4 linked regions of the Drosophila melanogaster genome follow. The protein of the gene in region 1 interacts with the protein of each later gene in a pairwise test. Each region holds a gene or a part of one and is shown on either strand. Other genes may lie near its edges.

Region 1 (7,141 bases):
CAGCTGATTTATGGTCTGGAGGAATTATAATTCCCGGATCATTATCAGGCTTATTGCAGTCAATGCATTTCCCATTGATATACACTTGTCCCGGCGTAGCTGCAATAAGGAAATGATTAGCTAAAAATATCATATATATATTTTATTATTTCATTAAATAATTACCATTAACAGCTGCCAGCAGGCAGAAAAGCAGCATCAAAGTTCCGGCGACTTGAAGAGCTTTCATGTTTTTCCTTGGGGATTTCGAATAAATCTGACTGCCAAAGTGCGAGTGCTCTGCTTTTTATATGCCATAGTACATATAGTATTTGCTATATTATATATATAATTGTTTATAATTATTTTGCGGGATTTTACATAGTTATTTTAAAGAAATGTCTGGAAAGGAGTGCCTATTAATTAGTTGTTTAATTATTGTTATTTATTAAACAAAAAATCGGTAAGCTGTATCGATTTTATTGCTAAACCATACAGTAGCAAGGCTGATCTATTTGGATAATAATGTAATTAATCAAATCATAATATGATAATATAAAATTTGTATTAGTCTTTAAAACATTTATTTGAATTAAATACGGTATTCTCCATCGCCTAAGATCATTTTCAATAATTTGTTTCTCATTCCAGATCTCTAAACTAACAAATAACAAATATTAAGCTGACTTTAAGCGTCTTTTAATGACAAGTGATTGTTTCATAGTTTGTTTTCCTAGAACTTTGTAATACATTTTGCAATTGGAATACATTTAAGTGGTTTGCCTGAACCTCAACTGCCTTTCAGTTGTTATCTATAGAAATCAATAATATTTCCCCATTACAAATAATATGTTGTTTTGTTTGGAATATATTTAATATGGGCACTTGATTCTAGGAATTTCTATTACATTTTCGACTTAAAAATATGTGTGGCTGTGTGAACTTCAACTGGCATCCTTCATTCTCCGCTGCCCTTAGGCCCTCACATTGCAGACGCGGCAATCGCCATTGATGATGACATTGCCAGGATTCAGGGGAGTGGCTGTGTTGGAAATATAATTAAAATCATAATTAAATAACTTATTTAGTTTGTAAATAGTTGGCATTACTCACCGTTGGCCAGAGCCAGCAGACCCAAAACGAAGGCGAGTGATAGGAATTTCATGTTGTTGGTTTTTGTGGTTGAATTCTGAGCTTGACTCCCGCGTATTAGCCGTTGACAACTGATGCTAAGTGTTGAGAACAACACGCTTTATATAGTCATAGAGCAGCCAAGTGTACCGATCTGTCTTATCAACCAACTGGCAGCGACACCGGGAAAAGTCTGGCCGAGATTGGGATTCTCCCAAGCTCAAGCCAAAGCCAACACCTCCATCGAGAAATTCCCGAGTGCAGCGGTGCGACGTTCTCAATGAAATTGAGCGTAAACAAGTGCAGACTGATAGCCCCGAGCTGCGCGATTGGAAGAGGGAAATCCAAGCTGGTCCAGAACGCGATTCTATTCACGTGCAAGGTGGCCAGATTGCAAACCTGATTCCATTTGACTTGGCGGCGCCCCATGCGATTCGTTTTTCCCAGTATTGCGAACCCGTTTTAATGCGTTCAATTCCGCCGAATCAATAAACTGTCATATTAGCACACAGTTTATTAGCAAGTTTTATGCAAAAAAGGTTAGCCAAGGTACTTGGAAAGATTATGGTTTTGGATTGGCAGGGAGTCATAGTTTTTTTTTGTAAGAAAGTCAATATGGCTATGTAAATAATTTAAAATGAAATTCAGGCATAAAGCTCAACTTTATTTAAGTATTTTGAAAAACAATTATTTCTATAATTAAATTCTTACTTCTTTCAATTACTAAATACCAAAATTATTTAAAATTAGAATGACACCTAATGGTAATTTTTTCGAATTTTAAATACAGTTTCATTTATTTTTATTAAATAACAAGTTTTCTTATCTATATTCTGAAATAATTATATAGTTTTCATCAAAAATAAAATTATAACATTATTTTTCGTCATTTAAGGCTATAGGAATTTAGAGTATAGTATATACAAATAAATTAAGAAAAGGTTAATATGCGTGCAACAGTGCGTATGAGTAATGTCCATCATAAGAGGCGTGCCTTTTGGAGCCTTTAGAAAGTTTTTTCAATAGCAAGTATTTAAAGATCATATTTAATATGTATATATACATATTTGTATATATTTGGCTTTAATTTGCATTGAAATTGTGTTAATCAAATGCTTTAGTGAACATTTCTTGTTTAGCTACTTGTTTATATTAGCTGCAAGGTATTAAAAATACGAAAATAGTTTTGTTTTTTCACCATTTTATTTGTAATTGGCGATGTATTTTTTACTACTAGTTTTCATTTTAGTACAAGAGTGAGAGTATAAATATGGTGCTTTGGATTTGAGGTAAGTTTTGGCCCATCTTCGAAATTAAGGCGAGTACTTTCCTACTTTCCTACTTTCCTACTTTCCACCGTGCACATTGCAGTATTTGCAGTCCCCGTTGATTACCACATTTCCTGGATCGGGCGACAGGGGAACAGCTGCGGAAGAAATAAATAATTTATAAAGTAATCAAATAGCTATAAAATATAGTATTACTAACCGTTGGCCAGAGCCAGCAGACCGAACACAAAGACGGTGACGACTGAGAAGAACTTCATATTGATTCTGGTTTGGTTGTTGTGGCTTTGATTTGCTAAATGCACAAGCAATCGATTGAATTCAACTGATGCTCTTGGCTAGTTCGATTGGATCTTATATAGCTCAGCCTGGAATCTTGGAGCAGCAAATGTGCATTGGTTGGACGGAGGCCACTGATAACCCCCATCGAATCGAAAGCGCTTGGGAAAACACAGAAAGTTGAGCGTTCAATAGCATTTGTTTTGCGTATTTAAATCTGGAAATTCCAGTCCCGTGTTTATGGGCGTGTTATGTGAACCAACAGGTAGAAGCTAAGATTGCTTTAATGTTCGAGAGAAAACCATTGGAGTTCTTAGAAGTATTCAAAATAGTTGCAGTTCAATATAGCTTTCAATCATTTGTCTTTCTTTATAAGAACTGAATAATTTGTTTTTTGTTTTGTTTACAAACAAAGTTTGTTGTTGTTTTTTACCTCGATTTGAAGCACATGCACCTGCAAAGTTTTGCATATATTTCAATATAGAAATGTGTTGTGCTCAGTGAAATTGAAACCGGCTTATAACATTTTGAATACAAAGTCTGCACGTGCTACAAATTAAATTAACACGTATACACTTGCATTCAAAAACGAGTTCATTAAACTTACTATTGAGTATGTTTTTAAATAATAATATTCTGTAGTAATCTTTTTAACAATTACTACAAAGAAAGCGTTATATTCTTCTTGTAACCATTAAATGAAATTTTATACGCAGTCAATATAATATTTAAAAAAAAGTTAGAACTCAGGGAATAATTAACTAAATCATGTTAGAATATGGTTAATCTATAATAAATAGCTGAAATAAAATTGCATCAGCCGCTTTGTAAATTGTATTGATTTTAAAAAAAAGATGATAATTTATTATATTTTGAAAAGCACTCATTTCCTTTAATCTCCTACACAGGCAACAGTCAATAGTTCAGCTTTGTTTTAAAACAAAGGTGTACTCAATTCCAGCCAGATCGGTTTTAAATTTGTATACATTATATATATAGATTATACAGATTATAAATCTCAGCTAATCGGCACGGCTATAAAAAGAAGGCGACGCCGATCAATCGGCTTAGAGGGAATCATAATGAAGAGCCTGACGTTATTGGCGCTTTTGATCTTGGCCACGTTGGCCTTTGTCCACGGTCGGTTTGAAGGCCAAAAGGTTTTAACTTGAATATTAACCGTTCTTCTACCTAGGTGGCAAGGTGACCATCAACGGCAAGTGCGTAAACTGCTCCCATGATCAAACGACTACCACCACGCACAAGCCAACAAGTGGAAAAGGAAGTGGAGGTAGGACGACAGCCCGGCCAAGCTCGAGATCATCTCCAGCCCGCGGTCGCCCATCATGGGATGACGATGATGATGATGACCTGACCGGTGACTGGGCACTGCATCAATCGGCTGGAGGAACTCAATACATTGGCAGGCGTTCGAAGCGTCAGTCACGCGGTGGTCAGTACATCGATTTGGGCGGATCTGGCGGAAGGGGTGGAGGCGGAGGATGGGCAGGATCTGGCATAACCACCATCGATTCCAGTGGCTATCCCGGCGGAACACTGGTGCGCAATAGTGATTGCGTCGGTTGCAATATTCGCGGATAAAGTCAATAAATTATTGAAACACTAAGAAATTATCTTTTTTTTAAAACGAAGATTGTTTAAACTTATGTGGTGGAGGAATCATCTGTAAACCAATATTCGAATTTTTTCTTATAGTCTCTATAAATGATTGCGATTTAAATACAATTTACAATATAGCTTTCATTTTATTACATTTTTATTATGATGCTAAATATAAGTTTTGATTAAAAATTTCTATTTGCCACCACGAACATTGCAATTCACACAGTCGCCATTGATGATAACATTTCCTGGATCGGGTGACAACGGAATAGCTGTTGAATAAGATGATTATTTACTTAAGTAATCAACTAATTAATCTTTGTAGGTTCTACACACCATTGGCCAAAGCCAGAAGACCAAGCACAAAGACAGTGACGATTGCAAAGAATCGCATATTGATTTTCAATTAATAGATCCGGTTTTATAAGCTGAACACACCGGACAAACGATCAACTACAACTGATGCTCTCGATTAAGGGAAACCGATCTTATATAGCAGATAGTCGGATCTAGGAGTGAATCAAGTGCCATATGAGATGAGAGCGATTGATTGATAGCTGCTGACAAAATATTTTTTTCGTGGGAAATATAGATTTACACTTTTTGTTTTGATTAATTCGAAAATACTAAAAATAAAAAACATCTTTTGTTTAGTTAGAAAGGAAATAGAATCCTCTATTTGTATGTATTTCTTTGATTTGCATTTTTAATTCTATGTATTATTCCAGTAAAAAATGGTAACAGCTTTTGTGTTCTAGTTTGTAGACTATGTCCTTTTTCGAATCCTTGGGTTGAAACTTCCTACTTGCCACCGTGGACATTGCACACCCTGCAATCGCCATTGATGATCACATTTCCTGGATCGGGCGACAGTGGAACAGCTGGAAAATAATAATAATAATAAAATTAGTTAAATCATCAAATAGGCAATTTCAATTAGTTTTACTCACCATTGGCCACAGCCAGCAGACCGAGCACAAAAACGGTGACGACTGAGAAGAATTTCATATTGATTCTGGATGGATTTCTCCGGTTTTGGATACTGAGTGCACTGGGCAATTGATTGGATTGAACTGATGATCTCGGCTAGTTGGAGCCGATCTTATATAGTCGAGCGTCGGATTAGAGAGCCACGCGAATTGGTGATAAGCCGTGTATTTGGGAAAACACAAGCATTTAATCGGTAGACTTAAGATGAAGTCTTCAAAGAAGGTAAAAGTACGCATATTTCAGACTTTTTTTTTATAAGAATTTTATATAAATTATTATTTTAATTATTAATTATTAATTTCAGGTAAATCGGTAGAATCATTGGTAAGAAGCATTTTTTAAGAAATAGCTTGTTTTAAGTTTTATATAAATATATAAATATAATTAAGTAAAAGTTGTAAAAGTTGTCGAACAAATTATGCAGATGAAATGAGACAATGGGTATTCTTATATTTATATATAATTGTCAAGAAAAGCAAATTTAATGATAACCGAAGACATTAAATTATTGATGGCATAAAAATCTGTATATTTTATCACAAACATGATAAACATGAGCTAGAATGTAAAAATCAAAACAATCTAAAAATTCTATATTTTACAAATAAGCTTTCATTCGATTTCTAGCTAGCAATAAGCAAAGTAAGAAGCTTGTGGAAAACCCCTGTCAAGAGTTATCTGTAAATTGAACTGGTTTCTGGGGGCGAATCCCGCACCTATCCACCCTTGGTTGTGCCTCCACTGCAATCTGGTTTTCATAACAAAGCGAATGGGAATGCTTAAAAGCTCACAGATTCCATGTGTCTCGAATAGATTCGTCTTGCACGCAGATTGAGAATGAAGTGCCTGATTCTGTCCTTTGCAATTTTCGTTGTCCTGGCTTCCCAGGCTACGGGTAAGAATCAGATGGGCGCGCCTTTCAATGTCACAATTTCGCTTATTATTTTATTATTCCGCAGCCGGAAATGTGATTATCGGCGGAGTATGCCAGGATTGCAGTCCGCCGGTGGCGGAAAACGTCGTAGTCGGTGGCCAATCCTACAGGACGGGTAGGCCGGGCCAGGGAACGGTGTATATCAATTCCCCTGGCGCATATCTAGGAGCTCTCGATGGTCCCATTCGGCGAACTGGCGCTGGCGGCGGAGGAGGCGGTGGCGCCCAGTATCCGGATGGTTACAGTGGTCGTCTGCCAGGTGGCACTTACCTTCACAATAAGGATTGCGTGGGCTGCAGCATCAGCGGGGGCGGGGATTAACGAAATTATATTGTGATTTGTACATAAAATACCTCGCATTTTTTAATTTTCGGGCATAATTTATAATTCTTTAAAAAATCTGAAAATTTGGTATAGTTACTTTATGTCATATTTTATAGAATCTTATTGGTTCAGACCTTTATAAATGTCCTTTATAAATTTTGATAAAATTAATTTTCCAACTGTTTTTTGAGTTTCGTAGAGACAAACATTTTTAATTAAAAAGTAAAATTATATAAGAGCTATTAAGTAATCAAAGCTAATAAAAAAGTTATAAATCAATTAGAAAATCAAAAAGACCCTCGTTTAATACGCTTATTAAACATATGATGGCATTTTATTACCAATTTAAAATTTTAATTTTTCCTTTTCATTTCTTTTTATCAAAGCATTGTTTATTGGTCGGAAAAAAAAAGTTTTGTTTGCGCAATATACAAGTTTACATACTTTACTTCCATAGAATTTTATTAATATTTGCGGTATTCGACCATAATTGAATACATACATGCACTGAAAATACTTTTTACGACAATATTCATTTTTCAATTTAAATGAAATTCTACAAAAATATTAAGAACTTCAAATGTGTGTTTTAAAT
Region 2 (8,071 bases), on another chromosome or scaffold:
GTAAACAAATAAACGCAACTATGTAACAAGTTTAACTTTAAACGAAACATACGATTAACAAAACAAAAAGAGTCACCAAACGAGACGCAAGATAAACTTGAAGACGATGGCGGTGGATATATATATATATATGCATATATTCGAGCAGCAAATCGAAAGAGATGGCAAAGGCGTATGTATGGGAGATGAAAAATATAAGATTTGTTTCAAACAATTATTTGTGATTTTTAAACATGAAATGATAAAAATGTATGCAAAGGACTAGACAACATAAAATTAATTAATAAATTACAATAATACACAGTTTAGTGCTTTTTCTTTGTTAACTATATAGCGAAGGAATCGAGATCCGCGTCCGCGCCCACATCCGTTTCCGTTTCGAAAAACCGAATCAAATGAGAAGAGAGCCAACAAGAAATCATATTTTATTAATCTACTACCGCTATATGCTATTATTATTTATGCAGCAAATAATTCAATTTATTTATGTGTACAAAATAAACGGAACAAAAAAAAACCCAATAAAAATACCAAGAATTCAACTGACAACTCTTTCATTTCCATCTCCATCGACTTACCTGCGCATTTGGATGCAGGATTCTTGACCAGAAACTAGCTTACTCAAAGATTCGAGCGCATTTAAAGTTGTTTTTAATGAAATCGTTTGGAAAATCGTATTCTATTATGGATAGGCTTACAAACTAGGAGTCTAGAATTTGCGGCGCTTCAGTAGATCCGGTCGCCAGTTAATCGGATGCGACTCCTCGCTGGCCTCGTCATCCTCCTTGTACACTTTGATTGTCTTGTCCGCCTCGGCGGTGATTAGCCTGCTGCCCGATTGATCGAAGCACATGGCGAATATGCCCGCCTCGCTGTCCATGGAGCCCGGTTGGACGGGCGCTTGGAACCGCTGGAAATTGTAGCCGGTACGCCAGTCCCAAAAGAACATCGTGCCGTTGTCGCCGCCCGAAACGAGCACGCCCTCACTATTCGCCGCCATGCAATTGACAATGGACGTGTGGCCGGAGATGTTCTGCACAAACTTGCCCTCCGGACAGCGCCACTGCTTGATGTTATCCGGCGAGGCGGAGGCGAACATGTACAGCGATGGATGGAGGACTATGCTGCGCACGGACTTCTTGTGATTGGTTAGCGTGCAGACGCTCTTGCCGGCGGCCAAATCCCACAGACGCACCGTGGAATCGTGGGAGCCGGTGATGATCTGCGGATTGGTGGCCTGCGCCACCACACTGGCCACCGTGTTCGTATGGCCCGTCAGTGTGTGCACATTCGCCTTGGTCCGCATGTCCCAGATGCGGGCAGTGGAATCGCGACCGGAGGTGGCCAGCACATCGATGGTGGGATGCAGGGCCAGCGAGTAAACAGCCGATAAGTGACCGTGATAATGCCGTATGACTTTGTTGTACTCCAGATCCCAGCACTTGACCTGCCGATCCTCGCCGCAGCTAAACAGATACGGATGCTTCGTGCTGACGGCCACACCGCGCACAGTGCTCACATGACCGGTGAGCGAGAGCTTCAGTTTGCCGCTGGCCAGGTCCCAGATCTTGATCACACGATCGCCAGCGCCGGTGGCGAACCACTCGTTGCCCGGCTCCACGGCGATGCATCGCACCCAGCCCAAATGGCCGGAGATGACGCGCGACAGTTTCCAGGGTGCGTGCCACTTGGGCTTGGGTATGCTGGGCGCCTTCTTCGGTATCAATTGCAGATGGCTGGCGATGGCGCCATTGGCGCTCATATCTGCATTGCTGTTCGCCAGGGAGGCGCGCACCAGGGATGTGTGTGTGCCGGTAACCAGTGGCGCTGTCTTCTCCGCTGGCCTGGCGCCCGCATTGTACTTAACCAGACTGCCGGCACCGCTGGCCGCATCCGTTGCACTGCCATCGGTGATGGCCAGCGTCTTGTCGCCCGGCGTTTGGGCTCCTGATGCCTTCCTGGCCTCGCCGATCTTCGCCACCTTGTCCAGCACAAGGCCATAGCCATCCTTCGCCTTGATGGAACGTCGCAACTTCTCTCTGTTTAACGAAAAACACAAATTAACAATGCGTAAGTTGCAAACTACAGGTATACTCACAAACGTTCGTCGATTTCGGGCAGATTTCCCTGGTTGGAGACGAACAGATCGTGGGTGCGCTTCAGGGAGCGGAATATCAGCGTGTGCACGCTGTGCTTCTGCACGTCTTCCATGGCCATTGTCTGTTATTTATTGCTTATTCGCTAAATTTGTTAAAAACGCGGCGCGGCTCTTGCAGCTGACCACCACAAGCCATACATAACAATCGGGCTATCGGTTATCGGACAGTGATGTCTGCTAGCTTGTTTATAGCCAAATGTTAATGCTACATGGGCATCCATTTTTAAAAGAAGTTTTATTAAAATTTTAAATGTATTTAAATGCAAATATCTAATATCTAATTGAAATTGTGTAATTGAATTATCTAATAATTAGAAAAAAATGATTTAACTTTTCACAACCTTAAGTCGAGATGAGAAATTGTGGGTCCTGAATTCAAAGTACCATAAAAGCCACAAAAACTGATAGTTTTTTCAGAATCGTTTTTCGAATACCCATCAAAGTGTTAACTTTATGCGCCCACCCGAGAGATTAAAAAACCAATACGTTGTTCTTTTTTGAAGCACATTTCTGTTTTTTTGTTTTGTTTTGTTTGTGTTTTTTTTCTGCTTATTATTAGTTTGCGGGAACCGGCGATCCAGATGCAAGAGATGAGGACGTGGGAGACACCGATGGTGACGAGGTGCTGGCCGCAGCTCCGCTTTCCGGGACGGGCGATGGCCTCGTGTTGAAGAACTGTTTGATCTGCAGATAAAAGATGGAGTAAAGATTAACCTATGAACTTAAAAACACCGACCACACCAGCCACAATTCTGTCATAAAGCATTATTTTTTTTTACCGCAACTTTGCGCATTTGTATGTTTATATCAGAATGATAAAATGCTTAATACTGTTTCTAATCAAACCCTAAACCACATTGGGAAGTACTTGAAATATTTAGGACTATCTTGACATATGAATAACCTATAAACATTAGCGAATCTAGAATGTTCTGAACATTAATTCAACTAAATCGTTGTTTGAGCCATTGCGTTGGGTTTAAGTTACAATGGTTTGCTAGTCTGATTAAAGATTTAACGAACTTCATTTCGGATTTATGACAGTTTGCTTGAAGGTGCTGCGGTTGGGCAATTGCTTACGATGCGCTTGATGTAGTTGCATGAAGTTTCGTTGTTCGAGCTGGACACCACGTTGTCCACTCGGTACGGCGGCGAGATGGTGACTTCATTTAGGATCTGTATGTTAAGTCCTTGCCAGGAGACTTCATTGTACTACAAAATAGTAAAAGAAATAGCAATGGTTAATGATGATAGGGCATCGTGCAAGAGGTCATTACCCCGTATTGTTTGGCTATCGCTCTATAGAGTTCCTGCGCCTCTGGACTGACATCAGCATTCTTAGACTTCAAGTAGTCCTGTCTTCGCTCAACTGTTTTCCTCAGACGCATTTTGACCTGTATAAGCAATATATATATATATATATATATATTTATGTAAGTGGTCAGAGCTGGCATGCTTACCTGTTCCAGATTAAGCTTTTGCGGATCATCAAAGTTGCCGTTGCACTCCTTGATCACCTGCACGTTGCTGCAGAGCGAGAGGTTCATCGCGTAGATATCACTCAGCTCCTCCGTGGACTTGGATCGGCATTCTATGCGGTTGGAAAGGGAAGAGAAGAGCAGGAACGGGGGGCAAAGATATACGATGTACGGAGAACCAAATTGTCAAGCAGTAAACAATGGGTTTGATAAGAGATAGGTGATATGTGAATGCTATCAGTTAAGATGAGTGTGAATTAGAATTATATACGAATCTAAAGGACAGTGTGACTTTTTGTCCAGACAGCTCAAGAGATCCCTGTGGACAGCCGGAGAAAGTGCTCGCTTTCACCCGGCGGGCAAGTTGTGTGTGTGTGTGGGTATGCATTTCGGGGATTTCGTTGCAAAAGGATACTCAGGATAAGCATCTTTGTGTTGTGATCGAAGGCCAGCACCTCGCCCTCCACCTCCTCGTTGAAACAGGTCGTACAGACGACTGTGGATCCGATGCTGAAGCAGTCGTTCACTGCATTCACTGCGCTCGCAGCGGCAGCGGCCATTTTTAATTGCTGGTTGAGATTGGCCAACTGGAAAAGTGCACCCACAAGCTATGTGGATAGGGGATTCGAATCTAGATCTAAATGTCGATACTGGTTTGTTGGCACGCCGTTGCTTGAACAACGTTTCACAAACAGCGATGGTGATGATGTTGATGATTTTGCGGCAGCAGCAGCTGTTTTGGATGCTTGAATTCCTGGAATTCTCGAAAGGATTTAACTAGCTCTCTCGCTCGCTCTCACTCTCGCCGTCTGTCTGTCTCGTTCTCTCGTGCCGTGCAGCTCACTCGCTTTCACTTGAACCGCTCTAATGGAAATGTCGCTTCCTGGCGATCTGGTCGAGATCCTGCTCCTGCTTCCACTGCCCCTGATCGTCGCGTGAATTGGCCAAAAACTCGCTGGTTACTCGCTCGACTAGCTATCGGCTATCTATTTTGGCGGCAATTGCGGTTCGGTAATTGAAAAGTTGGAAAAGTACGCGAAAAATTTATTGGTCAACACACGAAACAACAGCCAAAAGGGGGCAGCAGAAAACGCAGTGTTGCACATGCCGCGCAGCGATAGGTTCGATAGTCATCGATTACGGAAGTCTGGCAACGTTGCTGCAAACAAATCAAGTGCAATAATAATTTATTGATATTTATTTATATGTGAGTTCGAAAATGAAGACAGATTTTTAAGCTATAAGTGTGAAAATCCAAAGTTGATTGCATACTGAAAAGACAAAAGTAGATAATATTGACTTGTCTAAATGTTGTTGCAATTGAATGTTTCCTTATAAATCGTGCAGATCCTAATCGTTTTACCCCTAATCTCTTGATTAAGTTAAAGGTATTTGCTTAGAGCGGTTTTTCCACTAATAAATTGAAATATTTGGAAAACTTTTATTAAATACTTGTTGTGGCTACCGATAGCATATCGGCGCAACGTTATTTGGTTAAATTCCCGCTCCAGCTAGAGCTGAAAGTATAGGCAAATCCGAATGGGTTTCTCAATTTTTATATATTTAGCGCTATAACTTAATTCTGAGAAAGTAACACATATATTATTGTGCACATCCAATTCCTTGCAAAAATAGAAGTATGCCAGCATTGTTCGTTTTAAGGGAAGCCCTGCGGTTACTTATTTTAAGTCTTCATAAACCATAACCATCGATAGCAAATAAAAAAAAAGAATCGATAGTGTCTCAGAAAGGTACGAATTTCATGCCTCGATTGTAACATCGATAGTTTCACAGCTCCACTTGTGAGCCCAGCTCTAAAACCAAAAAAATTCCCAAGCCATAGTTTGCTTGGGAATTAAGTAAACAAATGGGCGAACCAAGGAGCCAACCACCCGTGGAGCGTCCACCGACCGCGGAAACCTTTCTGCCCCTCAGCCGCGTGCGAACGATCATGAAGAGCTCCATGGACACGGGCTTGATCACCAACGAGGTGCTCTTCCTGATGACCAAGTGCACGGAGCTATTCGTTCGCCATTTGGCGGGCGCGGCATACACGGAGGAATTCGGCCAGCGACCGGGCGAAGCGCTCAAGTACGAGCATCTCTCCCAGGTGGTCAATAAGAACAAGAATCTGGAGTTTCTGCTGCAGATCGTGCCGCAAAAGATCCGTGTACACCAGTTCCAGGAGATGCTGCGGCTAAATCGCTCCGCCGGCAGCGACGACGACGATGACGACGACGATGATGACGATGAAGAAGAGTCCGAATCGGAATCGGAGTCTGATGAATAGACGGTCATGCAGATGTTTATCTACACCGAAATTGAGTGGATGATCTCCATTCACCAAAACATCGACTGATTTTTTACGCCACCTTGCTATCTTTAATTTTAGACTAGACGATAAGTATAAAATTGTTTATAGAACCACTGATTAATAAAGAAGCATAAGAGCACTGCGTCCTCCAAATGACCATAAGATCCGCGGATGATTACCGTGTGTCTGCGGCTGATAAGATTGTTGTTTGAAATCAGAGTAAAGTAGAGCATAGTCAACCTCTTTGTGAGTTTACATGATGATCCTGGATATTCCCAGGAGAGAATGTGATCCTTAAGCTGACCTTGAACTAGAACTGCAAAAAAGGATAACCTAACTAGCATGCAAAACATTGATAGACGCGATTTAAAACGTTAAAGAGCATAACATATAATTGCACTTGGATTCGATTGGTACATTTTACTGCGGCTAAGGATAGATAGAGATTGCAGCTCCTAGACCTTCAGGTTGACGCCGGGATAGCCGGTGGCGTTCAGTCCGGTCACCTTGTAGGTGGTGCCAGCTGGAGCGGGCTGATCGAACTTGGCGGCAGTGGTCACGTACAGGATGTCCAAGTTGGGGCCACCGAAGGCGGCGGAGGTAATCTGTTTGGTTGGGAACTTGATCTCAAGCAGAATCTTGCCAGTGCTGCAATGAAGTACGACATTTAACACTCGATCACGAATGTTAGAGTGAACTACTCACTTGGGATTAACCTTGTAGATGGTGGCGCCATTGAAGGTGGCCACATACAGGTTGCCCTCGGTATCGATGGTCAGGCCATCGGGCAGCAGATGATCCTTGGGACTATTCTTGCGCAGATTGAATATAACCTTGGGATTGCTAGCCACGCCGGTCTCGAAATCATAGTCATACGACTTCACCTCGTAGTCGGTGGTATCGATGTAGTAGAACTTCTTGGCCTTCTCGTCCCATGCCAGTCCATTGGAGATGCCCACATCGCCCTTGATCACCGACACCTGGCCACCGGCCTCCCAGCGGTACAGCTCGCCGTGACGGAACTCGAACTCATCGCCAATGTAGCGCATGGTGCCGCCAAAGAAGCGACCACGGGGATCAACCTTGGCGTCGTTCAAACGATTCTTCTCCATCAGTGGCTGCACCTCGAACAGTGTGCGCACCACCTTGGCGCTGGGCGAGACGCCATCCCAGTTGACGATCACCACGCGTCGACCGCAGCCGACGGCGAATTCCTGCGGACGTCCCTCCACCGGCAGCACGAATCCGGCCAAGGTTTCGCCCTCGATCTTTGTCTTGTAGACCTTGTTCTGCGCATAGTCGTAGCGGAGCAGGCTGCCTGCCTCCAAATCCACGTAGTACAGGCTCTGCCTGGCCACATCCCAATGGGGACCCTCGCCCAGGCCGGCGTAGGAATCGGGCAATGGTTCCACCTTGTACGACATCTGTTGGCGAAATTGGGAACAACCGATTTGCGATTAGTGCATCTAATTGATTTTATATGGATTTATAGTGGATATAAAGTGGCATTTGGAATGCATTATAGCACTTCATGGTTATCATTATCATGGTTGCCATTTTAATTAGATTTTAAATTGAATTAAACAATTAAGAAGTACAGAGAATTCGAATTTAGATGTAGGATTAAATCAGAAAATTACGCACAAAAGCGAAAAACTAATAATTCAAACTGTCAACATTGCGATAAAATAGAATTATCAGGATAATTTATATGCGAGCAATGAGCAATTAAATTAATCATTTAATTTAATTTAAATATTCATTTAAATATGCGATTTTTTGTAGAGTTTCAAACACTTGACTTTCGTAACACTTTTTTTCTTCAATTTCTTTAGTTGGTCCTACTTATAGACGCAGTACCGTTAGGCCGAAAAGGCACACTGCAATCACGGGAATCAGTAACATCATCTTGCGCTCGTTGGCTCCGAATCCAAACTGAGCCCAAAGCCATCGCTCGGAGTTGCTTTTATTACCTCCAGACCAGGGGCTTGACATTACTGGCTGAGAATCGGCGGCATCGTCATCATCGCAAGCGGAACACAATGCGAGATTATTTATTTACTTCCATTTCCATGTTTTAAGTTCAATTTTTCCAAAGGCCGACGGTGGAGCACAATGGAG
Region 3 (7,447 bases), on another chromosome or scaffold:
TAAACGTAAATATACCAAATTGCTTTATAGCACCAGCGGGCATTTCAGAGTCGCCTGCAACTGGCCATACTGTTGATTTGGCTGTAGTTGCTCCGCTTATTTTTATTTTGTTTAGTAATTTAGGAAAGTAATAGTTTAAGATCAAAGTGTTAAAACCGCAATAATTGTAAGTGTTGCATGCGCTAAGAGCAACTGCTAAGTAACACTTTAGTTTTAGTAAACACACAAAGCGACGGATTCTTAAGACCGCACGCGTGAAATTGACCACTCTATTCTTTTACTTACATTTCGCTTTGCAACCAAACACCCACGCACACACAATCACCGACTGCAGTTGAGAAAGCAGGAGGACACACAACATAAGCAGCAACAACAACAAGTACACTAACGCTTTTGGCTTTGGTTCTGCACTCTTACCCACTCCCCAAAAATCCGCCCAACTTACTGTACTTTCCCCAAACACTTCCAACCAACCGACCTACCACCCACTTGATTTGACTCTGAAGAAACCCAAAAGCAATGTCGGATCTCTTTACCACTTTCGATAGCAACGGCGTCGCCGAGCACCACCTGCACCACAACCACAACTCCACATCGTCCGCCAGCGGACTGCTCCACGACCCACCCATGGCCTCGCCCTCCCAGCACAGTCCGATGACCAACAACAGCAACTCATCCTCGCAGAACGGCGGACCGGTTTCCGGTTTGGGTACGGGAACGGGCCCCATATCTGGTGGTAGCAAGTCATCCAATCACACATCATCCGCCGCCGGTTCCGAGAACACTCCCGTAAGATGCGTGCCTTATGGAGTGCACACGGAATACGCCAGGGTCTAGTTTAACTCTCTTCCGAATTACAGATGCTTACCAAACCGCGTCTCACAGAGCTCGTCCGAGAGGTGGATACCACCACGCAGCTGGACGAGGATGTTGAGGAGCTTCTGCTTCAGATCATCGACGACTTTGTCGAGGACACCGTCAAGTCGACGAGCGCCTTCGCCAAGCACCGAAAGTCTAACAAGATCGAGGTGCGCGACGTGCAGCTGCACTTTGAGCGGAAGTACAACATGTGGATACCCGGCTTCGGTACGGACGAACTGCGTCCCTACAAGCGGGCAGCTGTCACGGAGGCGCACAAACAGCGCCTTGCCCTCATACGGAAAACGATCAAGAAATACTAGAGGATTGGATCTAATCGGGTCGAGGCTCTGTTTCGGTTTGCCGGATTTCGCGTATGCTAAACGTGCACACGCCACAAACTAATTTAAGCTCCAATTTAGATTAAATAACAAATTATCGTCGCTCTATTGTAGATTTATTGTAATAAAAGTGCACTATTGATTTCACATTCAACAATTGGTCACCGTCAGCAGTAAATTTTAAGTCGTGATTTTTTAATCACAGTTTCTAATGGTTCTGTAATATTTGTATTAATTGTTTGTCTGGTGGATATTGATTTATATTTTTCATAATTTAACAATTTCTTCAGTTTATTTTAAAAATATTTGTGTAATATTTCCCTTTGAAAATAATTAGCGGACTCTGCTGAACGCACCCAATTAATTGCTGTATTTTTTAACAACGTGGTATTTTTTTAATGACCGAACGGTATTTTCCATCTCTCGCATCAAGGTCATACCATCAATAATGTTGATTTTCTGATTGTTGATTTAAAATTAAAAAAGCTTTCAATTGGCCAAAACAAATTTGTTCGCCATGAAGCTGCCGGTGATTTGTCGCACGTGCGACTCCACGGACACCGACAACCTTCTGAAGCTGGCCACGCCCTCGAAAAAGTATCCGGACAAGTTGCTTTCGGAGATTTTATGCGAGCTAACCGAAATCAATGTAAACAAAGTTCTAAGAAGCGAAATCTACGAAAAATGCAAACTAAAATGAAACATTTACCTTTCAGCTGGATGCAACTGGTAGTCAGAAATTTCCGCAATGCTTGTGCAGTGGATGCACCAAAAAATTAATGGGTGCCTATTGCTATGTGAAGCAGGCGATGGCCGCCAACGAACTTCTAATGAAGCATCTAAAGAACGGTGCTGCTCCAACGTCAACCGACTGTCTGCAGGAGGCGCCGATGGAGCTGTGTGCTGAGCAGCATGTGGAAGTCAAGCTGGAGACTGAGGATGAGGACTGTGGCGAAAATGATGTTACTATCACTTGTTCCGAACTACCGGAACCGGACGAAACGGACATGGAGAGCAAAAAGTCGGTGGACCCACTGACCATGATTGAAACGGTGAAGCTGGAAATGGAACCCAGAAGCGTGGAGAAGCCAGCGTATGACGATCCCACATCGGACTTTGAAGACGAAGAGTGGGTGACAATTGGAATTTCCCAACTACTTTATTTTAACTAACTAATCTTGCAGCTCCCTGGATAATTTGCCACTGTATAATCGCATTCAAAAGTGGAAAACAGGAAGAAAGTCTGTATATAAATGTCACGACTGCCCTAGGAGTTTTAAACGATTCGACTTCTTGAAACGCCATGAAATGCGCGTCCATAAGCCAGAAACTCGATTATATGACTGCTCCCTTTGCATTCGCAAGTTCAGCCGCAGCGAAGCCCTCGAAGCACACCTAAAAATTCACCGGAATTCAAAACGATCGGCCAACATTAGCGAGCACAAGAAGGCCAAGGCTGTGGATTTGAATCTCTGCAAACCGCATGGCTACAAGCTGATTGAGTGCATGATCTGTCAGAGCCAATACAACAAGATTGCTGATCTGCGCCGGCATTTGGAGGAGCACCCCGATATTGTTAGCCTGTGCGGTCGGCCAAATATGGAGCCCCATGAGCTGGCAGAGCTGTTTTATCCCGATTCAAAGGACCTCAGTGAGGAGCAGTTAATCAACTTGATTCGCAAGGATCTAGCGGCGGGTATCTATCAGCGTTTCTATTCGATAACGAACCAAAGTGGCTACGAAATGGATCTGGACAGCTCGGAGACGGACAGCGACCTGGACGGAGATCACGATGACCAGCACAAGAGGCGAAAGAAGTCGCGCAAAGCCACCTACAGCTGCGAGCTGTGCCAGCAAAAGTTCCCGCGAAAATATCAGCTTTATGACCATCAGCGACAAAGTCACAGTTGGTCAGACGCTCCTCACGTCTGCGGGCGATGTGATGGACGTTTTGTAAGTCTGCAGCTGCTGCGCCACCACAACGAGTCGCAGTGTAGGAATGCACAAAAGCGATTTCTCTGCCACAAATGCCCGCTACGCTTTCGCTGGAAACACAACCTGAAAACACACTTCCGCGAACACAGGATTACAGTAAGTTAATCTAAGAATTGTTCAGGCTACAGACCCATTGCATCTATGAATTTTACAGAATCAAACGTTTGAATGTTCCGAGTGCAAACGGGTCTTTGATAAAAAGAAATCCCTCACCGTTCACCTGCTTAGCGTACATGCGGAGGAATCCAAGCTGATTCCCTGCCAGTGGTGCAGTCGCAAATTCTATCGGCACGACTACTTGGTAAAACACTTGAAGCGACACGGTTTGAAAGAGCATGACATTCCCTTGGCAGAAACATTGATTGCTGCCACCTCGCGGCCAAACGGAGCGAAGCGCATTACTTGCCGCATGTGCAATCTGCATTTCGAGCGTATTGTTGATCTGCGAGCCCATATCCAGTTGGAGCTTAAGCTATCCCTGTCGCTACACCAGAGCTACGACTCCCCGCATAATTATTCAATAACAAACGAATCTGGCTTTGAGCTGCAGCTGGAGGATTCGGAAACCGAAGACGAGATGCAGCCCGGTGTGGGCAGTCGCCCCGTATATATTTGCGAGCTGTGCAGCGTGCAGTGCAAGCGGAAGTTCGAAATGATCCAGCATCAGCGGACGATGCATCGCTTTGACAAAATGCCACACGAATGCGACGACTGCATCTTTAAATGTGTCTCCAAGGTGAGGTTTTAAATGTGTATTCTACATTTAACCAGTATAGATACATTATGTCAATTTCATTATTGCTTCAGAGCATTATGGACCACCACCGGCAAGGTCAGTGTAGTAGTACAGAAAAGAAGCATGCATGTGGCAAGTGTTCCTACAAGTTTATGTGGCCAGAGAACCTAGAGCAGCACATTCTCCTGCAACACAGCAAGTCTTCCGTCAGCAATCCGACTGGCGACAGACACACGCAAGGGACCGGTGACCTGGAAAAGGATGCCACTGAGGACGGAATACCGCTGCTACAGTGTCCACACTGCGATCGCACGTACCAGATGAAGTCGCGCCTGAACAATCATATTCGCGATGTGCACATTAACGGCGACCGCAAGCGCAAGGAGGCAATTAAGCGCTTCCTCTGCTCCCTGTGCGGAATGGAGACGAGATCAGCCGCCGCTCTTGTGACCCATATGCGACGCCACACTGGCGAGAAGCCCTTCAAGTGCGATCTGTGCGAAATGGCCTTTCCCCGCCACTCAGAGCTGGCCTCGCACCGCCGGATGCACACCGGCGAGAAGCCATTCCACTGCACCGTCTGTGGCAAGGACTTTGCCCGCTCCGATAAGCTCAAGCGCCATATGCTTACGCACAGCGGCCTAAAGCCGCACAAATGCACCTACTGCGAGAAGAGTTACCGTCAGGCCAAGGACCTGAAGCTTCATCTCCAGCAGCACACCGGCGAATGTCCTTTCGTGTGCGGCACCTGTGGCGAGCGCTTCATCCAGAGCAGCACGCTGGAGAAGCATCGGTTGATGCGGCGTCACTTCGACGAGGTGGAAGCGTGGCTGAGACGCCAAAAGTAAGGGGCTCTTGCAATAAATACAATTTGGTCTAGTATAAAAGGAATGACATTATTATTTATTGGTCGTGGCGTGGCATCACTTCAGAAACAAGACAAATTACTACTTTAAATATTTGAGCATTAAATGTTTATGACTTTAGTTGAAAGTAAACTTTGGGTGTAGCATGGAATGCCTATTTGTGGCCCTATTCGCTTTACAGCTCTTCAGATCCAGAGCGCGGTTCGATTTTTACCAACTCCGTATCGAAGACGAGCACCGCATTGGGGGGAATCTTTCCGCCACCCGCTCCACTGGCTCCGTATCCCAGCTCAGGCGGAATCGTCAGCTTTCGCTGCTCACCCTCACACATACCAAGGATTCCCTGATCCCAGCCCTTGATCACCTGCCGAGCTCCCAGGGTAAAGGAGAAGGGAGTGCCGCGGGAGTAGCTGCTATCGAACTCTGTTCCATCCTGCAGTGCTCCCTAGAATGATTCCAAATTCGGGGTTAGGTCGGCTAGAGATCTTCCTTATCTGATTTCCCTTACTCTGTAGTGCACGTGGACGAGATCGCCGCCCTTGGCCTTCCGGGTGCAGTTCTCCACCCGCTTCTTAATGCCAATCTTCACTTTCGGATCGCTGGCAGCGGAGGCGGCCACAAAAGCGCAGATTAACAAAATATAAGTTAACTTCATCTTATCGAAAGCCAGTATCAAAAAACACTCGCGGTTTAGTGTGACCAGAGATCTACAATAATTTAACTTGTTCCCACTGCACACATAAAACCAAATAAATATAACAACTCAAATAGTTTTCAACGAAATTAAGAGATTAAAACTTGTTTTTTTTTTTTAACTTTGAAAAAATTAGTAACCAAAAGAAATTTTATGTAAATAAGAGAAAGATCAGAAGTGCAGTAGTATCGGTTCATAGTTAAAACCCAATCAAAAAAGGTCTCACTTAAATGCGAAGCCCGCGAAATTTAAAACTTCAAAAACCACTGCTGGACATATTTTTTCTTGTAATTTACAATAATATGAGTATAGTACAGCTCGGACTTAAAAATAACTTACGTACATTAAAGCTCATTTAAAATAGATACACACATTGTTTGATTACATATTTGACTTTCTTAAAACAAGGAGAGCTCCAAATAATGATCATTTGCTCCGGATTATATGGCCCCGAAGCGCGTGACAGTGCAAAAACAAAAATTGACATTATAAATATGCAACAGATTATCAGGAGATATACGAATGTACGATTATATCACAATAATAAAGGAATACATACAATTTAAATGATATTTAAAGCCCGACATACAACGAAGCCTACGCTTAATTAGGTGCCAACATTCAAGCATAATACTAATTTACACTAATATTTCGTATAAAACATAGCTACTATTATTACAAAGGGTCCCATTGATCAGTGCTGTAAGGGTGAAAGGTGAACTCAATCGCAAATTCGGTTTCCACTCGATGGGCTCTGCCGCTAACACTGCCATCTGGCTTTCAGTTGTCATTGGACAGATTTGTGATCTTGGCCGCATACATGCTGGCCACCTTGTAGATAAATTCATACTGCTCCTTGGTCTGTACGGCGCTGGCACGTCCGCGTCGCACGTAGTAAACCAGTTGGGGGATGTCCACGGACCGCTTCGGTGTTTCCAGACTGCGGATGGCCATGTCCGACGCTATAATGGTACCGGTTCGTCCCGTGCCTGGAGAACAGTGAACGGTTAGCGGTCTGCAGGGGGAGAGATGAAGAAGTTAAGACACAGAACATTAAAAAGCCATGCAACACACAACAACTGCTTTGATATGAATGGATGGAGATTATGTCAACCTACCCCTGCTGACTTCGTGTTCCGCTTCGACTTGAGATGTTTCCATTAATCTCGTGGCTGGACGTGCTGCCCGCCTCGGCTTTGCTGCCGTCCGCATCCATTGACGTCTCCAGGGTCGCGGACTTCTCGCGCAGCTCGTTGGCCTGCTCAAGGGAGTAGGACTTCAGCGAGGATCGCGCTTCCAGCAGCATGGCGATGATGGGCGCCTCCTCGGCCGGTACACCCGCCTCAGGCCATTTGTACCAGTAGTGGGTGAGCTCACGGCTCTCCTCGCCATCCACTCGCTTCAGAACCAATGTGGAAATGGCATAGCGATCCTTGACTTCGCGATGCTTGAGGGTCACCTGGTAATCGCCATAGCTGCTATGATTGTCCAGAGTCGCCGACGGTGGCAGGTACTCGGCGCACCTCTCAATTCCGTTCTCACTGAGATCCGTCGCCTGGATGATCACCCGCGACTGCTGTTCCCAGATCATGCGCCAGAAATCGCTGGTCGTGCTCTCCAGCGGCGCCTGGCAGGCTATGTAGTAGTTGGGTGCATCCCTCGGGCCCTGAAGTGATTAAAAAAGGTATCAAAATGATGTCTTTCCATTGGATAGCATACTAGTATTATTTGAATTTGAAGCTATCTAGCGTTTTTCGGCAAAAAGACGACGCGAGGTTGAGTAATGACATAACCATCAATTAAAACCGATTGCGGCTTAACTCTACCCCTGCCCACACAATGACTGGCGATCAGCTACGCGCGCCTCTCAGATAAACGATACCATAAAATCGCACAACAGACCTCTGCTGCTTGAATCTCGACATGCTTAGGTTATCGCCAGGTGCAATGCCGATGA
Region 4 (9,194 bases), on another chromosome or scaffold:
GATTTTACAGTTGTTAATCACTGAATATTACCAGCGGCCGTCTCCGCTCTTCACGGCTCCTTGACTACCAGCAATCTTAAGCGGAGTTAATTATGCTCGCAAATTAATGTTTGACTGCATGCCAAGACATTTTCGATTCACCTGCACTGTTTTCAAATACAATTTAAGCTCTAGCAGCGCGCGCTCTGCTAAGTTTGTCGCCCCACAGCCATGTTCTTAGCTGTTGTCAACGCAGTGTCGCACTTAACATAGGGTTGTCAAGCAAGAAATAATGATAATGAAATTTAAAAAAAAAGTCAAATAAACAAGAATCTTACATTTATAAGCATATCAGCATATCACTTTTGTAAAAATTAAAATAATAATAATTTATAAGAATAAGAATATATATTATATTATTATTATTAAATATTATTATAATATTTATAAATAATAAGAATAATTTATTTATATATATTTGACTACATAACGTGCCTAACACAAATTTTAAAATTGGCTAAACGTTTTTTCTGATATGGACGCCCTAAGTATTATTTTCCAAATCAAATAATTCGGCTTGCATACACCTAAATTTTTCGAAAGGTTAACATTATTTTGAAATAACCGTTCTAAAGTCGACTTTGTATGGTCACTCTAGCGGGCTGCTCTACACAGCTGTGAAACAATCGATTTCCGGGCATATCGATGTTTTTCAATCCACCATCAAAGCGAATCGATACCAATAACAATAATTCTAGAGTGCATTTCAGTTTATTAGTTTGTAGTTACATAGCAAAATGCGCGTTTATTTCGGCTCAGTAAATTAAGAACATTTTCGTTACACGTTGCCACGCCCCCCCATCCAACGGCAAACCACCCCCCGCCTCCGCCTTCAAGACAGAGAGAGAGATAGAATAAAACAGAGAGAGAGCAACAACAACAATATATAACCAAAACGAAAGATTTCCGCAAGAAACCACAAAAAAAAACAACAATTGCTTTGGTTCTGATGATTCTCGTAACAGCAAAAACAACAAGATTTATAATCTAAATCAAAAGAAACTGTGCTCTCCGCTGTGCGTGGCTGTGAGTGCGTTTGTGCGGTACGGTGCGTGCATTATAACAATTATTGCACAAAAGGCATGACAAACGTGGGGCGGGGGTGTCTGTAAATGTGAGTGCGATAGAGCGCGACATATTCAAACAAGCTAGGGACGGAGTAGGTGAGCGAGGGAGAGAGAGAACGCGACGGTGGCAACAACAAAGGGCTGTGATTTTACTTTGCCCCCTCCACCCTGTACCCCGTCCCATCCATACACTTGCGTATTTACCAAATAAACGGAACATACATAAGCCAAAATAGGCAGAACAACAACAACATTAAGAGTCAACTAAACAGCAAATCGAATAGTTTCGTGGGAGAAAGGACAGCGTAGCAGAGTCATTGGAAAACTGGCCGCGTAAGGGAGCGCAATGGATGTCCTGGAAATGCTGCGCGCCAGCGCCAGCGGCAGCTACAACACAATATTCTCGGACGCGTGGTGCCAATATGTCTCCAAGCAGATCACAGCAACGGTAAGTGCACTTCACCCTTTCTTTGTCTTTTTATTTGCTTTGACTTTGGCTTGCTGTTTGTTTGCAATATGAGTGAGTCAGTTGGAAGACAATATGTGCGAGAGCGAGAGGACGCGAGGATTAGAAGGGCAGCTGGAAAGCTTAAAAAAAAATGCGATGCAGGATTACAGCTGTTCGGGCTTGTGTCCGTGCTTAACGCGCGGGAGAGAGAACGTGAGCGAAAAGAGAGCATGTGGATCTTACTTGAGCAGGATAACAGCTGTTTTAGGTTCATGTCCAGGCTACATATAATATAAGATTAATAAGTATTTACGTACTCACGTCACAATTCTTTTATATAATTCAAGAATTTTATTATGAATATAGCTTTTTTTTGTGACAACATCCATAAAGATTAGGTCCCCTGATAAAAATCACAGAATGAGCGATAAAGCAGACCTAAGTAGTTAAAGTAAAGTAAACAGACATTATTCAAGAAAACCCACTTGAGTATTGAGAGCAAACACCTGTTAGAAAATTCCACTGTATTTTGTATGCGATTTTTTAATGTGTAATCCCATTATCTTTATGGAAATTTTTCTAAAAAAAAATTTTTACAAAATGTTAGCTTGACGAATAAATGTCGGCCAGACATCATAGGTTAAGTACTTAGATTTATAGGTAGAAGAATCGAAATAGTCGCTGTTCCTGACTAGTTTACCATAACTTAGTTCTAGTAAACCCTATCAGCGGATTGAAGTTTAGACCCCAGCTAAAGTTTAGAACGATACAGGCTAAGGCAAGTGTGGATTTCAGGACTCTAATCTCTCTTAGAACCCAGCCAAATGATAAGAAAAGAGAAAAACCGGAAGAGAAAAGGGGAAACTTCCGTGTTTTCATTTGTCGCCACAAATCGAAATTGTTTTGTGGCCTTACATAAAACAAAACGAATGAAAAACAAAAACCACTGACTACAGTAGCCACATGATAACACCACACGACCATAGTATTGATAATGACACCCAGGCGACCCCGAAGCAAGCAAAAAAAAAAAAAGAAAAACTAAACCACCCGAGCTGATAACTATGATAACCGATTGCTAATCAGAAGCACGTGCAATCGTGGGCGGGGGGTGCGTACGAAATCAGTTTTCAATAATTCAATTAACCCCTTGGGGCCAAATCAATTTAGCCGCCTTGTGACTGCGCGAATTTTATCATTATCGTGTTGTTATGCGAGTGTGTGTATGTGTGTGCTGTCCGATTAGATCAAAGCAAATCCAATTGGATAAGTGCGTGTGTGGCGCAGCTTCGGCTTCCAATTAGACCGACTGAGTCAATTGGTATTTATGGCATTTTTTCTTGTACATTTTGCAAACCTGTTGTAAAAATAAACTGTAAACAAACAATAATTGCTGGGGGTAATAAAAGACAAACAGTAAGGTGCACAGTGAGAAAGAAAATGTGCAACTTATAGATTAAAAAAAAATGTTTATTTCTATCGAAAGAAATCGAAACTACGCCACTATAATTAACGTTTAATGAAGTGCGAGAAAACGCTACATTTTTCGCGCTGTGTAGTATCAAATGCGGAAACTGCAGACAATAACAAATGGGTAGCAGCAACAACAAATTGCCCGAGAAACTACTGCCACAACAAAAACAGCAAATGCAACAACAACAACCGCATCGAACAAGAACAACTCACTCAGAACCGCTAGCAACAAACAATAAAACAAACATACATACATACATACATACATATGTATGTGCAGCGACGTTGCGTCGCCGTTTCAATGTCAAAGTGCCGAGTGCAACAACAAGATTTAGGGAAAATAACAACAAAACACAGCTGATGCACTTGATTACACGGGCGTGACACTTGCTTTTGGGAAATTCCAAGTGTCTTCGTGCTAAATAATTCATCCTAAATAACTGGGCGACGTGGAAAATACGAAATGAAAATCATATTGGAGACGACATCAAAAACCCTTATATCCTTTCGTTTCAATGTCATAAGCTGAAGAAGAATGGGAAACTAATTAACCAATTAATTAATAATTAAGAAACGTGATTTAGCAAAGGAGTTGGCACATTAGTACAAGAATTCACATTTTTTTGTTTTGCATTTCAGCAAAAGTGAAAAACCATATAGAATCAAAAGCATATTATATCATAGTTAGATTACCCTTTCATTTTACTTCAAAAACACTTTCAAACACTTCAAACACTTTTAGTTCAATTTTAGATCAAGAATAACAAAAAAAAAAAAAAAAAACATTTTCTTATATATATATATAGATTTTCTTTATATTAGCCTTTAATAGCTCTATTAAGAATGTTAAGTTTGGAACCAGCTCGATATGACATCGATTTCAACTTCCGAGGAAATCAGACAGTTTTCACGTGGTTGCAGCAAAGAGTTCTACCAAACTCCACAGCCATTATAATGAAGGCCTTTGAACTGAGGAATCAACTAATTGCGCGCTATCTTATACAAATTCCTTTGCAGGTGTACATGTATTTCGCCCTGGTAATGATGAGCCTGCTCTTCATAGCCTGGTTCTTATACTTCAAACGAATGGCACGTTTGCGTTTGCGCGACGAGATTGCCCGTTCCATTAGCACCGTAACCAATTCATCCGGCGATATGCGTGGCCTGCGTTTCCGGAAGCGTGACAAGATGCTATTCTACGGCCGTCGAATGCTGCGCAAAATGAAGAACGTGAGCGGTCAAATGTACAGCAGCGGTAAGGGCTACAAGCGTCGTGCTGTCATGCGTTTCGCGAGAAGGATACTCCAGCTGAGGCGGGATAATATGCCGCTAGAGATGCGCACCGTGGAGCCGCCAGCCGAGTATCTGGAGGAGACAATCGAGGGCAGCGATAGAGTTCCGCCCGATGCACTCTATATGCTCCAGAGCATTCGCATTTTTGGACATTTCGAGAAGCCGGTCTTTTTGCGGCTCTGCAAGCACACCCAATTGCTGGAACTGATGGCCGGCGACTATTTGTTTAAGATAACCGATCCGGACGATAGCGTCTATATCGTTCAATCGGGCATGATCAATGTGTACATCTCCAATGCCGATGGCAGCACACTATCATTGAAGACGGTCAGGAAGGGCGAGTCGGTGACATCGCTGCTCAGCTTTATTGATGTCCTGTCGGGGAATCCCAGCTACTATAAGACGGTCACCGCCAAAGCCATTGAGAAATCGGTGGTCATTCGTCTGCCCATGCAGGTAGTTTATCTAACTAAACTAAATGTTCATTGAACACTCACTTACTTCTTATTTTTTTCCTCCTTGCTTTGGCAGGCATTCGAAGAGGTGTTCCAGGACAATCCGGACGTAATGATTCGCGTCATCCAGGTGATTATGATCCGGCTACAACGCGTACTGTTCACCGCTTTGCGCAACTACCTCGGTCTAAATGCCGAACTGGTGCAGAATCACATGCGCTACAAGAGCGTATCCACAATGAGTGGACCGATTAACTCGCAGACCTCGCAATCCTCACGCCAGGCGCCCAATGGGCCGCCCATGGTGATCAGCCAGATGAATCTGATGCAGTCCGCTGTTTCGGGAACGGGATCATCGGGTGTCTCGGTGACCGTAACTCGACCACCATCCTCGCCATCGCGACACTCGCGCGAGGAGCACACGCTATCCGATCCGAATCCAAATCCGGATGGTAGTTTTCACGGCACTACCAATCTGTTCACCGAGGTGCATGGCGATGCGCCCAATGCAGATCTATTCCATCAGCAGCAGCAGCAGCATTCGGTGGGCAACCTATCCACGCGTCGCAGTTCCATAACTCTGATGGCACCCGATGGTTCGCACTCGTGTCTACAGACACCCGGTGTGACAACCTCGATAGACATGCGCCTGGTGCAATCCTCAGCGGTGGACAGCCTACGCAAGGAATTGGGTCTGTCCGAGGAGGATTCCCACATCATTGAGCCTTTTGTAGAGTTAAGGGAACTGGAGCCGAATGTCACCCTGATTACGGAGGGCAATGCGGACGATGTTTGCGTTTGGTTTGTGATGACGGGCACATTGGCTGTTTACCAGAGCAATCAGGATGCCACGCGGGCCAAGCAGGATAAGAGCGACATGCTCATTCACTTTGTGCATCCCGGCGAAATCGTTGGTGGACTGGCCATGCTAACGGGAGAGGCCAGTGCGTATACCATTCGATCGAGAAGCATCACCAGAATAGCCTTCATCCGACGAGCAGCTATTTACCAGTAAGTTTGGGCGTTTACATAATGAAGTAAAATGATTGCTTTATGATTGCTTTATTTCCTCGACAGGATCATGCGACAACGACCACGCATTGTTTTGGATCTGGGCAACGGAGTAGTACGCCGTCTATCGCCTCTGGTGAGGCAGTGTGACTATGCCTTGGACTGGATCTTTCTGGAATCGGGCAGAGCTGTCTATCGGCAGGACGAGAGCAGCGACAGCACATATATTGTGCTTAGCGGGCGAATGCGTTCGGTTATCACGCATCCTGGTGGCAAAAAGGAGATCGTCGGCGAATACGGCAAGGGGGATCTTGTGGGCATCGTTGAAATGATCACGGAAACGTCGCGCACCACGACGGTGATGGCTGTGCGCGACTCGGAGCTGGCCAAGCTGCCCGAGGGCCTGTTCAATGCCATCAAGCTGCGCTACCCCATCGTGGTGACCAAGCTGATTAGCTTCCTTAGCCACCGCTTCCTCGGCTCGATGCAGACGCGCTCGGGCAGCGGGGCGCCGGGCGCGCCCGTCGAGGCCAATCCCGTCACGCACAAGTACTCCACGGTGGCCCTGGTGCCCATCACCGACGAGGTGCCGATGACGCCCTTCACCTACGAGCTCTACCACTCGCTCTGTGCCATAGGTTCGTATAAAGCTAGTGAGCGCTCCAATCTGTGGGACAATAGTACTATCTATACATTATTATTTGTCATTGATTAAGAAGAATGAAAGGGATATATATGTCTCTGTAGCTATACAAGGTTCTATGATAGTTAAATGTTCACTTTAAATATAAAAACTATGAAAAGGTAATAAGAGGACAAAGTCCCAGGCATAGCGAGATTTCAGCATATAGAATCTTTTACACTTCTTTTCCGCTAAGATTTATTCAGAACACGATGGATAAGTCCGGTAACGTTTCACATTGCTGCACTGAATCTCCGATATAACCGCCAATTGTAACGTTTCTCTTCTGTTTCTCGCTCAGGACCCGTTCTCCGTTTGACCTCCGATGTGGTGCGCAAGCAGCTGGGCTCCAACATCTTTGAGGCAGCCAACGAGTATCGTCTAACCTCGTGGCTGGCGCAGCAGGAGGACCGAAACATCATCACCCTCTATCAGTGTGACAGTTCGCTGAGCGCGTGGACACAGCGCTGCATGCGACAGGCTGACGTTATCCTGATCGTGGGCCTCGGCGATCGATCACACCTGGTCGGAAAGTTCGAACGCGAGATCGACCGGCTGGCGATGCGAACGCAAAAGGAGCTCGTCCTGCTATATCCGGAGGCCAGCAATGCCAAGCCGGCCAACACGCTTAGTTGGCTAAATGCCCGACCCTGGGTAACAAAGCACCACCATGTGCTCTGCGTCAAGCGGATCTTCACGCGCAAAAGTCAATATCGCATTGTAAGTAAGAAATGAGGAAGTGCTCACAAGTTGGCCAATAGCCTTGGCTGCAATGTCTATGCTAATCATCGATCTATTTGTTACCTTTCAGAATGATCTCTATAGTCGCGTCCTGCTGTCCGAGCCAAACATGCATTCCGACTTCTCGCGTTTGGCGCGCTGGCTTACGGGCAACTCGATTGGCCTGGTGCTGGGCGGCGGAGGAGCGCGTGGAGCTGCCCACATTGGTATGCTGAAGGCCATCCAGGAGGCGGGCATACCTGTTGACATGGTGGGCGGCGTCAGCATCGGTGCCTTGATGGGAGCTCTCTGGTGCTCGGAGCGTAATATCACCACGGTAACGCAGAAGGCGCGCGAGTGGTCAAAGGTTAGTACTTTACTTTCATACACATTCGTCGTATGTACATATATATGTTTAATGTATATATGTAAATTCTTTTAGAAAATGACGAAATGGTTCCTACAACTACTTGACCTCACCTACCCGATCACATCGATGTTCTCCGGACGAGAGTTCAACAAGACGATCCACGACACTTTCGGGGACGTGAGCATCGAGGACCTGTGGATACCCTACTTCACCCTCACCACCGACATAACCGCCAGTTGCCATCGCATTCACACCAATGGTAAGTTAGTAGTCAAAAAGCTCCCGATTTGATCTTTCTTTCTGTCTGTCTCCCTCGCTTTGTATATGGCTGTCTCTGTCATTTTCTGTCGCTTAGTCGCTATTCGTTTTTATTTTATTTGGGCTATCGGCTAATGGGAATGCAATGTACTTAACTAGTATGACCTTTAAAGCTAAATCTTATGTACATACTAAAAACTGATATTCGGCTCTGAATACTCTGAATTTTTATTTAGGCGAGTAAATTAAGTTACATTTTTGAAAGAAATTGAAATGTGTAATTTGAAAAGTTTGAAACTGCTGTTAATACATTGTACTCTTGATTGTATATCCCCGTTTTGGTTTGCTTTATGCTATAAGTTTTTCTTTGGGTATTTTCCTTTTTTATGCTTTTTGTAGTTTATTATCCCCCCTTCAATGTGTTATTGTACCGTTTTGTTGTCCCTGATCCTTTTGATCCTTTGGTAGCCTTAGAACTGAGTGTGCCCAAAAATTAAATCGCAGACAATGAGACGCCCACACAGGCACGCACACACTTGCGCACACACACACACACACACACACATAGGCACAGCCTCATTCCATGGCCCGCAATTTTGTAGAGGCATTTTCACTTTTCTTAATGTTATTTTCTGCTGTGGAATCGACTAGTTATCGGCGTTATGCTGCCAATCGAATGTGCCGTTTTGTTTGAACTTGAAACATAACAAACCAAATTAAAATCTCATTGTTGTCGCTGTTGTTGTTGTTGTTGTTTGGAGAGCTTGTGCCATAAATCGAAATTGGCTATTGTGCTCTTTGCTAGAGGCTAAACTCGTTGCTCCTCTTTTAAGCCACCCCGCATCGCTGCGCCCATTAAAACCCAATCCATTGGTGCTACCCATCCCAAAAATTCTCCATTCCATATACCCCTTTCTCTCCTCCATTAAAAAAAAGATAGCTCAAAGCAACTTTCTCTCAATCTTTCTTATTTTTCTCTTCTCCTCCCCCAAAACACAAACACACACAAAACACCCACCGACTTATCATTGCTGGCATGTGTCTGCCGTTGATTTTAAATACCAGGATCTCTGTGGCGTTACGTACGCTCCTCCATGTCGCTCAGTGGCTACATGCCGCCGTTATGCGATCCTAAAGATGGGCACCTCTTGCTGGATGGCGGCTATGTGAATAATCTGCCAGGTAATTAGCACTTAGCAACTAGCAAATAGAATTAACAAAAAAGAAAATGCAATACAAATACAAAAAAAGAAAACGAAATATTTAACCCAGTGCGTTAATCCAACAAAAAATTATCACATTCAACTTCCAATCTAGAGCTGAGTTTTTCGGCACACAGAGCGCGCGCGCAGAGTGTTGGAAATTCCACTTGTTCGAT

Evidence for each region.
Region 2: the proteins of BomBc2 (region 1) and Tango4 interact in a two-hybrid assay, tested with the Drosophila melanogaster proteins (one large-scale study listed by BioGRID).
Region 3: the proteins of BomBc2 (region 1) and CG14715 interact in a two-hybrid assay, tested with the Drosophila melanogaster proteins (one large-scale study listed by BioGRID).
Region 4: the proteins of BomBc2 (region 1) and sn interact in a two-hybrid assay, tested with the Drosophila melanogaster proteins (one large-scale study listed by BioGRID).

Annotation. Positions count from the first base shown.
Region 1 is NT_033778.4:18,382,188-18,389,328, reverse strand, and holds BomBc2 (bomanin bicipital 2), read left to right. Parts: upstream 1-3,739; 5' UTR 3,740-3,757; coding exon 3,758-3,815; intron 3,816-3,870; coding exon 3,871-4,277; 3' UTR 4,278-4,490; downstream 4,491-7,141. Other genes in the region: BomT2 (bomanin tailed 2), read right to left, coding at 1-99, 166-229; BomS3 (bomanin short 3), read right to left, coding at 954-1,021, 1,093-1,144; BomS2 (bomanin short 2), read right to left, coding at 2,457-2,536, 2,599-2,656; BomS4 (bomanin short 4), read right to left, coding at 4,491-4,570, 4,635-4,692; BomS1 (bomanin short 1), read right to left, coding at 5,100-5,179, 5,249-5,306; BomBc1 (bomanin bicipital 1), read left to right, coding at 6,126-6,183, 6,248-6,543.
Region 2 is NC_004354.4:12,015,306-12,023,376, reverse strand, and holds Tango4 (transport and golgi organization 4), read right to left. Parts: upstream 2,310-8,071; 5' UTR 2,218-2,309; coding exon 2,099-2,217; intron 2,040-2,098; coding exon 710-2,039; 3' UTR 631-709; downstream 1-630. Other genes in the region: Lsm12a (LSM12 homolog a), read right to left, coding at 2,714-2,842, 3,239-3,370, 3,436-3,552, 3,619-3,749, 4,052-4,196; Chrac-16 (chromatin accessibility complex 16kD protein), read left to right, coding at 5,504-5,926; regucalcin, read right to left, coding at 6,406-6,598, 6,656-7,374, 7,811-7,858.
Region 3 is NT_033777.3:11,672,286-11,679,732, reverse strand, and holds CG14715 (uncharacterized protein), read right to left. Parts: upstream 5,513-7,447; 5' UTR 5,452-5,512; coding exon 5,305-5,451; intron 5,242-5,304; coding exon 4,972-5,241; 3' UTR 4,810-4,971; downstream 1-4,809. Other genes in the region: Taf12 (TBP-associated factor 12), read left to right, coding at 520-789, 861-1,181; CG18476 (uncharacterized protein), read left to right, coding at 1,717-1,848, 1,916-2,328, 2,384-3,290, 3,349-3,930, 4,002-4,778; CG42327 (uncharacterized protein), read right to left, coding at 6,271-6,505, 6,609-7,156.
Region 4 is NC_004354.4:7,959,800-7,968,993, reverse strand, and holds the start of sn (singed), read right to left. Parts: upstream 4,852-9,194; 5' UTR 4,822-4,851; intron 4,777-4,821; coding exon of another isoform or gene 4,045-4,776; intron 1,555-4,044; coding exon of another isoform or gene 1,453-1,554; exon of another isoform or gene 758-1,452; intron 1-757. Other genes in the region: sws (swiss cheese), read left to right, coding at 1,453-1,554, 4,045-4,776, 4,852-5,786, 5,853-6,424, 6,770-7,188, 7,280-7,555, 7,631-7,817, 8,882-8,998. UniProt on the Drosophila melanogaster protein: Acts as an actin bundling protein. May have a role in the asymmetric organization and/or movement of cytoplasmic components. It has a role in somatic cells during the formation of adult bristles and hairs, and in the female germline during oogenesis.